Linked DNA regions of Mus musculus: region 1 is reported to be linked to region 2. Evidence: microRNA targets listed by miRTarBase, many of them from high-throughput screens and not tested one by one. Region 2 holds a microRNA gene; the other region holds the end of a gene's coding sequence.

Region 1 (4,000 bases), not on the chromosome of region 2:
TGGTAGGGGTAGTGGCACAGGGGGTACCCAAGAAAGGCAGAGGTCCCTCAGAGAGTCCTCCCTTCCTTCACCATCCTCCAGGAGTGGTTCACGGTTTTGGAACACTACCGACGCACTCACTGTGTGGTATCAGAGCTTATCATTGGCAATGGCTACTACTTCCGGGTCTTCAGCCATAACATGGTGGGTTCCAGTGACAAAGCTGCCGCCACCAAGGAGCCAGTCTTTATTCCAAGACCAGGTGCTGTACCCTCCCTCACACTGTGAGGAATCTGGGGAAGGAGGGGGAGCCTCACTTGGGGTGACCTTCTTGGTACCAAGACTTGTCACCAACAGGCATCACATATGAGCCACCCAAATACAAGGCCCTGGACTTCTCTGAGGCCCCAAGCTTCACCCAGCCCTTGGCAAATCGCTCCATCATTGCAGGCTATAATGCCATCCTCTGCTGTGCTGTCCGAGGTAGTCCTAAGGTAGGGACTCAAGGTCCTGGGCTAGACTGACAGGAGGCTGGTCTCCTAGGCTCCTTATGGTTAACTCTCCCCAGTCTATATTGTCTTTCCCCTGAGCAGAGCCTAATCCCCCATTGCTGACTCTCTGTTCATTCTCAGCCTCTGGCTGAGTCTGGTGCTCTAGTGGGAATTTCTAGAATAGTCTCTCTGAATTCTCACCGGTTCTTCCATCACCAAAATGCTCTCCTTCTCTTCTGTTTACTTGATGTTCAGCCCAAGATTTCCTGGTTCAAGAATGGCCTGGATCTGGGAGAAGATGCTCGCTTCCGCATGTTCTGCAAGCAGGGAGTATTGACCCTGGAGATCAGGAAACCCTGCCCCTATGATGGTGGTGTCTATGTCTGCAGGGCCACCAACTTGCAGGGCGAGGCACAGTGTGAGTGCCGCCTGGAGGTGCGAGGTAAGGAGCCTTCTGGGCCAGGGCTTGGGAGAAAGCAGGACAGCACCATGGACCCTGGGCTTGGCTCTGCTGTCCTGGTTCAAGGAGTACCTCTGGCTGCTAGATCACTGGTCCTGACATGTTCAGTGGATCTTGGCTTTTGGAAGACTAGGGAATCACATGGTTTCCTTCCCTCTTACAGTTCCTCAGTGACCAGGATGGCTCCCCAGAGATGGCTAGGTACGTATTCCAAACCACCTAAGGCCAAGGGCCTAGGGTGGCTATCAGGAAATGGGGGTACAAGAAGCCACAGTTCATCCACAAGGCAGCCTATGTCTCAGGTACAAATGGATGCCAGGCTGTGTACCAGACCGGAAGGGAGTTGGAGGAGCACCCTTTTCTGCTACTGCATGTGTGTGTGCAACTGTGCATCCTGGAAGGACTGGCCAGCAGTGACACCAGGCAGGTCTGCTGGGTTCTGAAGAAACTGACCCTAAGGATAATGTTAATACTGGGAGCATAAAGTGTGTGGGCTTCAGAAGTGGTGACTGGGGACAGGCCCTTTTGGCTGGCTCATTGTGTAGGAGCAATAAAAGATCTGTGCCATTCCTGGGGGTTGATGTCTCCTGTTCATGTCCATGGGAAAGCATACAGCATTCGCTTGGTCACCCCACTCTCCAGTTCAGTGTCCTGGACTTGTGGGACATCAGCACTGGAAAGGATGTCAGCCTCCCTCCACCCTCATGCTCAGGTGAGGAAGTGTGGAAGTGAAAGCCGTTGGAGGCACAGGCATATGGGCCTCATGCCAGTAACCCAGGCAACACCAGCTGGGTGCTATACGGGGGACAGGGCAGTAGAGCCCTGTACTGTATTAGACATCAAGACTCCAAGAGCCCACAGCTCACGACCACATCTCATGGGACAGAGTGACTCCATGCAGCTCAGACACAGGAAATCACAACCTTCTCTGACTTCCTCCCAAGAGACCACATTTCCTTACAAATCTTGTGGCCGGCAGGTCTCAGAAGTGTCATGGCAGTGTGCTGGGTATTCTGCCCACAGGTGCCAGGGTTTCCCATGGCATAGATAGCCCATGAGGGTTGGACATGGGTTACCACTTTATTTTTTACAGAACCCTGGTCCGAAGGCCCTTGGGAGGCCCAGGTCACCACAGCACATCTGAACACACGTGTACAGGGTCACAGAGCAGTACCCCTGTTTTCCTGTGACTTCTTTATCAAGCTGTTCAGGTGTGAATGCCCAAGTCACCTCCTCTCTAGTGCCCAGAACATCTCAGGACTTTACAGCCGTAGTGTCGTAGGTGTTCCTTTCTGGCACCCCAGGAAGCCCAGGAGGCAGGAGGCCAGGGCAGGCTCTCAGTATGCCAACGCTGGATGCAGATGAGCTAGGGACAGCCTTCCTCAGGCCCGGGCTGAGAGGAGTGCACAGGAGCCCAAGTGGAGTTCAGGACATTTATTTCACATCACACAGCTGTACATTTTTCTATAAATAATGTGGAGCTGAAATATTTACATTCTCCTCCTATCCAGTCCATAGCTTTCTTCTGGCACTGAAGCCAGGAGACTCTGCCTGCAGACAGGCGTGCACTCTGGGCTCAGCTCAGCCCTGACCCACCTATCCCCGGCCCTTAGGCAGAGCAGCTGGTGCTGTCTGGGACACCATCACCTCATTCCTCCGTCCTCTCATGCCAAAGGCCAGGAAGACCACTGCACAAATCCCAGCTCGGCACATGGCAGCCACTCAGGGACACCCATCGATGGAGCTGGGGCAGGCAGCAGCATGACATGCACCCACAGTTTAGAAACTGTGAGGAAGCAGGAAGGTCGCCCACCACTTACTGAGCTTCCTTTGAACCTCCCCTCCTCCTCCCAGGCCCTCAGCCAGGAAGATTTGTCCCCAGGTGTCTTTCACTTCCCAGAGTGGAACTGTCCCAGGTGCCCCACAGTGCCAGATCATAGAGGACAGAGAGAAGACTCCTAAACTGGAGGATATAAGGACTAGGACAAGGGACCACAGTGCAAACATCTCAAGGACAGGCAATAGTGGGCTCACAGTGACCCCACAGACACACACACCACACACACCACACACACACACACACACACACACACACACACACACACACACACTCTGGAGCCCTGAGGGAACAGAAGGCTAGTCTGCTATTGTAGGAAGAGAAAGTAATGAGGCTAGCTTAGCCCCGTGACAGATGAACACAAAGACACTCAGACGTAAGAGAAGACCAGCTAGACCGTGGGAAGGAACTTGCTGAGAACACACACACATTCCCATCTCAGTCCAGCAGCTTCGGTGCTTAGGAGCAGCAAGAGGTGAGGGGAGACCCCTGGGCTTGGCCAGCTGTGGAACCCTTCTATCAGCTAGAGACAGGCCGAGGTGGGGTTCGAAGGTCTTCTTCACTGCTACGAACTGCGGCCACATACGAGAAGAGACACAACACAGAGTAGCAGATCTCGTGGGCCTGCAGGGAACAGAAGACCCGTTGGATCAGCCACACTGAGACTCCTTCTTAGGTAGAGGGTCAGCCTAGAGTACGAGGCCTGCCCTGACACTAGTGCAGGCCCCTGGGCTGAGTGAGCCTCAGGCAAGTCTCTGGAAGCCTTTCTCCTGAGAGAGGGGGGTCAGCACATGTACCCCAGATGAAAGGTGTGTTTGACTTGAGTTGAACCCCTGGCATCTAGTCCCCCGCGAGGGTCCACCCTTCTTGCCGGAAGGTTCCCAGGGAGCCCTGCGTGCTTCGGCCTGCTGTGGCTGGGACGCATACTCACCATTGGCGTCTTGTACTTGTGGCTCACCACTTCTTTAATTTCAGGAACTAAAACCGGACGGGCAAGAGACAAAACAGAAAGTTCAAAACTAAGAGCAACAGGGTCCTACTCCCCCGGGCGGCTGCGCCCGGTGCCAGGCTCCCCTTCCCTCTGTAGCCTCTCACAGTGGCTGTGGCGGCTTAGGCTACGATAGAACAGAGCTCAGCCTGTCCAGGCAGACTCTTCAAACAGACATCGCAAGTCTGCCGTGGCTTTTTACTTGATGCCTGCGATCTACGTGCTTCTATGCATGTCCCAAGGTA
Region 2 (4,150 bases):
GGTCTTAAGTCTAAATTTAGATGCTCGGTATATTTAAAAATATTTATCATTATAAATGGACAGAATCAACGAAACTCTTAATGTGAGCAGGCTTGTAAAGAAATGAACATATAGCTTTCTGTAGCTAACCTAGATCGTACTAAAGATGAGTCATGTGTCCCAAAAGCACTCGGAAGATTGGAGCACAGTGATGGAGAGGAGGCAATGCCTGAGTCATTGTGTGGCTGTGCATTCCTGGTTCATTGACAGGTAAGATGGCAGAGCTATACCAGTTGTCTACTGTGGCTGATTGGAGCGAGCAATGAGCAAGTTCTGAGGTTACAGCTACCACAGCTCATCATTAGGGTTATCTCATTGGTTCTGAATTATTCAACGGAAGATACATTTTGGTCCCATGCCCCCTACAGGTCATGGTGGTACTTGTCAGTCATCCATGAATGAGTGGAGAATGGAAATGTGACTGACATTTTCATCAGCTCATTTACATTAGCTTTCTACCATCCAGCTCAGAGCTTCACATCTCACTGCATATCTGGTCGGTGGGACTCAGCAGAGCTCTCAAAAATTGGCCTGTCATGGCATGACGGTAGTGGTAAATGGCCCCAGCTTTGATAAAAAGGAGACATCAGTAGAAAGGACCAGTCACTTGGCCTTATTTCTATATGATCTATTGGTCACTTGAGGTTTTGCTCATGGGGAAGTAGGAGGGACATAACAAGGCAGAGAAAGAGTCACCCATCTTCCTGCTAGCAGTATGTGAGGCTTGGTTCAGAGCTCAACAAATAGAGCCATTCGGTTGCAGGCCAGCTCACCCAACCACACAATGAATGGTACTTTGTGGGGATCACTTTGTCCCTGCCTCTACCTTGCTACACCCTCCCAGCTTCAGCCCCACCAGACAGAAGAGCTCTCGGCCATCCCAGTGCAGGAGGAAAAGGGACAGGGACATAATTTGCATTTTCCCTTGGCAAGCCTTTGCCTAGTGTCTACATCAATCACTATAAAGGATAAATGCCACCAAGAGAATGGAGAGAGAGGGAGAGCGAACGAGAGAGAGAGAGAGAGAGAGAGAGAGAGAGAGAGAGAGAGAGAGCAAATAGAGACAGTGAGCTAGATTGAATAAACCTGCCCAACTCCTGATAGAGCGAGCAAGCTGGTCACAGGAAAGCTAGCCAGAATGAATCCTTGGAGATTCTCCTGAATCTCTGGGACTTCAGCCTCTAGGAAATTAAATCTCCTCCTGTGTCATGTTTGATAGCTGTGTTCCAAAATCATTGAGTCTGGGTCTGGAAGAAATCTGACTGTTCACAAGGGCCTTATGCAGAATGGGTATAACAAATGAAAGTAAGTGGATAGAGATAGGCCTGAATGCAGTATTTTTCTTAGTTTCGTTTTCTTCCTGGTATTGTACGTAACTGCATGTAAATAAGCCAGGACTTACTGAAGGCAAGGAATTGACCCAATACAACCCAGCTAATTAGTTGAAGCAGAGACCCAGAATCCTAATCCAGTCTTTAAATGGGGGTGGGGCAAATTCTCAAGTAGCTCTAGCTGATCTTGTACTCACTGTGCAGCTGAGGATGGCCTTGAACTCATGATCTTCTTGTCTCCACCTCCCAAGTGATGGGATTATAAGAATGTATTGCCACGTCTGGTTTAATCCTGTCCTTTTACAATAAACCATAATGCAGTATGCATTGCACAAGGAAACAAACAGCACACACACACACACACACACACACACACACACACACACACACACCAAGTGAAGGACTCTTTTCTTTTCCTGTACCTTTGCCAGGCAGTCCTAATTGAAATGTGGCCTTGAGAAAGCATCCCCACCCACTTCCCTGTCTCTCCATCCTCTTGCCTGTCTTCCCACAGCAAGGTAGCCATGCTCTGGAGTCAGGCCAAGGTCCAGGAGGTCTTTACTCTCTTTCCAGCCTGCCCCTCCCTCTTTTGTCAGCAGAGGCTTACTGGAAAGGCCACTCTGAAATGAAGATAACATCTGTGCGGTGCTTGTTAGTAGTTAACTGCTGGCTGACTTCAGGCTTGGCCATCTCCCTTGGTCTTGCCTGAGCCTTTTGGTCTGCGTTTCGCTTTCCTGGTTTTTACCTGTAACGTTGAGCATGGGGCTCAACAGCCTCTGCCCAAAGGTCCACAGCTTTCCTTAACTCAGCTTCTTCTGTCTAGTTTCTATAGAAGAGGAGGCAAAAACCAAAGCTAACACAGGCTTTGAAAGGTCAAGATACCTAAGAAGAGGAGGGGGCCTTCATCTGTCTCCATTATACAGATAGGGAAACTGAGGATTACTATCATGGTATCATGGCTTCATTTTCATCCCAGTGCAGAACATGAAAGAACAGCATCCCCAAAGAGCATGCTTGGATAGGAGTTCCATCCAATATGGGCAGAGTGATTAAGTAGCAGTCATATGAAGGGCAGTCCACTGGAGATGTTGGAAGACATAAAAGACACGTATTACTTTTACCATAAAATAAAGCACAGTTAAACTACTACTTTTGGTAAGCAGAAAGTTCTGGAAAATAATTCCCTCAAAAAAAAAAAAAAGAAAGAAAGAAAGAAAGAAAGAAAGAAAGAAAGAAATTGCATCTTCACCTTAATCTTACAGCTTCCCATTGCTCTGGTGACCCAAGCAGGTTCTCCATTGACCCGGCCTTTGTATGCTCTGAAACCAAAGATGACAGGGTGTAGGCCAGTCAGTCTTCAACAGCTCGGTCTTCTGAGCTCCAATATTGGGGAGGATAACACTGATGTGCTGTAGTTTGAGCTATTCCACGCAAATGAAGAGGCCTTCACCAAGACTATGCTCTGCTCCCCAAATCATGTACCCCCACAGAGGGTCCAGATGGTTCTTAGTTCTTCTGGAGGCACATGGTTTGAAGAGCAGAGCACAAGACTGGATTTTCATTCCTGCTCACCATCTTGGCCGGGTTGGACCGCCTCATCCTGCTGCTGTCCGGATTCCCCAGGATTCTCACTCAGCCTGGGATCTTCTGCCCTTGGATCCTCCTCGCCTGTTTACCCCAGCCGCACCCTGTCTTAGAAGCTTCTTGTTATTCTGGTAAAAATAAAATGTGCTAACCATTTGTTAGAATTCAGATTCTGACTAGCATGCCCACTGTTTGCTGTGCCCTGCCCTCCACACAGCTATCTACTGTATAAAAGAGAACACATCCTTAGACTCTGCTGGTAGGGCCCAAATATAGGACTCTCCGTGGAGCCCCCTCCTCTTGCTTCTTGCTTGCCTGTCTGAATAAAGGGTGGCACTGCTTTTCACTGCAAAAATATGTAGACATCAGCTGGCAGATGGCAAAGAGTGACAGTGGCTAGAGACGGTCACCTAGAGAGCTTAATTGTGCCCATTTAGCACTGTGCTAAGACCCCCCTGCACTGCAGGTGAAGAACTAGATCGAGCTGGTGAGTTATGCGTGGTATAAAGGTGGCTGAGGAAGCAGGTGGTTCCTTGAGATCAGTATATCCCCTTCTGGCTATACTCAAAGGCTCTGTCCACCCCACCTTCCAGACATGACAGCCTTCCAACGAGCTGCTTGTACTGTCCCCATGGGCTGAAGATTATGCTGCTAAATGAACCTGAAGCAAACTGCCCAGTAGAGTCAATCTAGAGGAGAAAGGAGCCTTGGGATAAGATCAGTCAGTGGGGAGATCACAAGGGGGAAGCCAGTCTTCCTAGAAATCTGAACTGGGAAAGGGAGGCCAACAATGGCTTCTCCTCTTCTTCCTCAGATTCCTCCTCCTGCTCTTCCACCACCTCTTCCACCTCTTCCTCATATTAACCAATTCAAAGGAGGGGTATCAAAAACCTTGAAGAAATAAGAATATGAATGGAACACAAAGAATTCTCTCAGATCCCAGAGCCAGAGAGAGGCAGGCAATGGAAGAAGAGGTGCAGAAATCCAGCAGCACCCACCATCAATCTTCAACCTTGACAAGTGGCATCAGTCCTAGGGTGGGGAAGAGGAGCTCTAGTGGGAGCAAATCTCCTGACCAGTAGGGAGCAAGGAAAAAGGAAAAAAGAGACCAACAGGAAACAGACCAAGCACTATTCTGCAGTGTCCACAAGCAGTTAGAGAAATCGGGAAATAACATTCTTCAAGGAATGTCTAGA

Evidence for each region. The annotated mature microRNA mmu-miR-3475-3p reads UCUGGAGGCACAUGGUUUGAA and lies in region 2 at 2,885-2,905, shown strand. An mRNA with a match to its seed (bases 2 to 7 or 8) in the 3' UTR can be bound and repressed. Matches are read on the target gene's strand: a 7mer-m8 pairs with bases 2 to 8, a 7mer-A1 pairs with bases 2 to 7 and ends in A, and an 8mer does both.
Region 1: the mRNA of Madd is a reported target of mmu-miR-3475-3p. Seed matches in the 3' UTR shown: 7mer-A1 at 3,042-3,048 and 7mer-m8 at 2,894-2,900.

What each region holds. Positions count from the first base shown.
Region 1 is chr2:91,135,011-91,139,010 of GRCm38, forward strand. It overlaps Madd (MAP-kinase activating death domain), which reads right to left. Exons shown (of 35, transcript NM_001177720.1): 34 at 3,699-3,745; 35 at 2,350-3,391. The coding sequence ends at 3,287. Mybpc3 (myosin binding protein C, cardiac) reads left to right here. Exons shown (of 35, transcript NM_008653.2): 31 at 82-241; 32 at 337-473; 33 at 726-912; 34 at 1,094-1,131; 35 at 1,233-1,506. The coding sequence ends at 1,104. Among named protein-coding and RNA genes, the nearest start is that of Mybpc3, 19 kb to the left of the region's middle.
Region 2 is chrX:140,308,108-140,312,257 of GRCm38, forward strand. It overlaps Mir3475 (microRNA 3475), which reads left to right and starts at 2,841; the gene lies at 2,841-2,905. The region is part of intron 3 of Gm32113 (predicted gene, 32113); the gene reads right to left. It also overlaps a transcript of Frmpd3 not described here.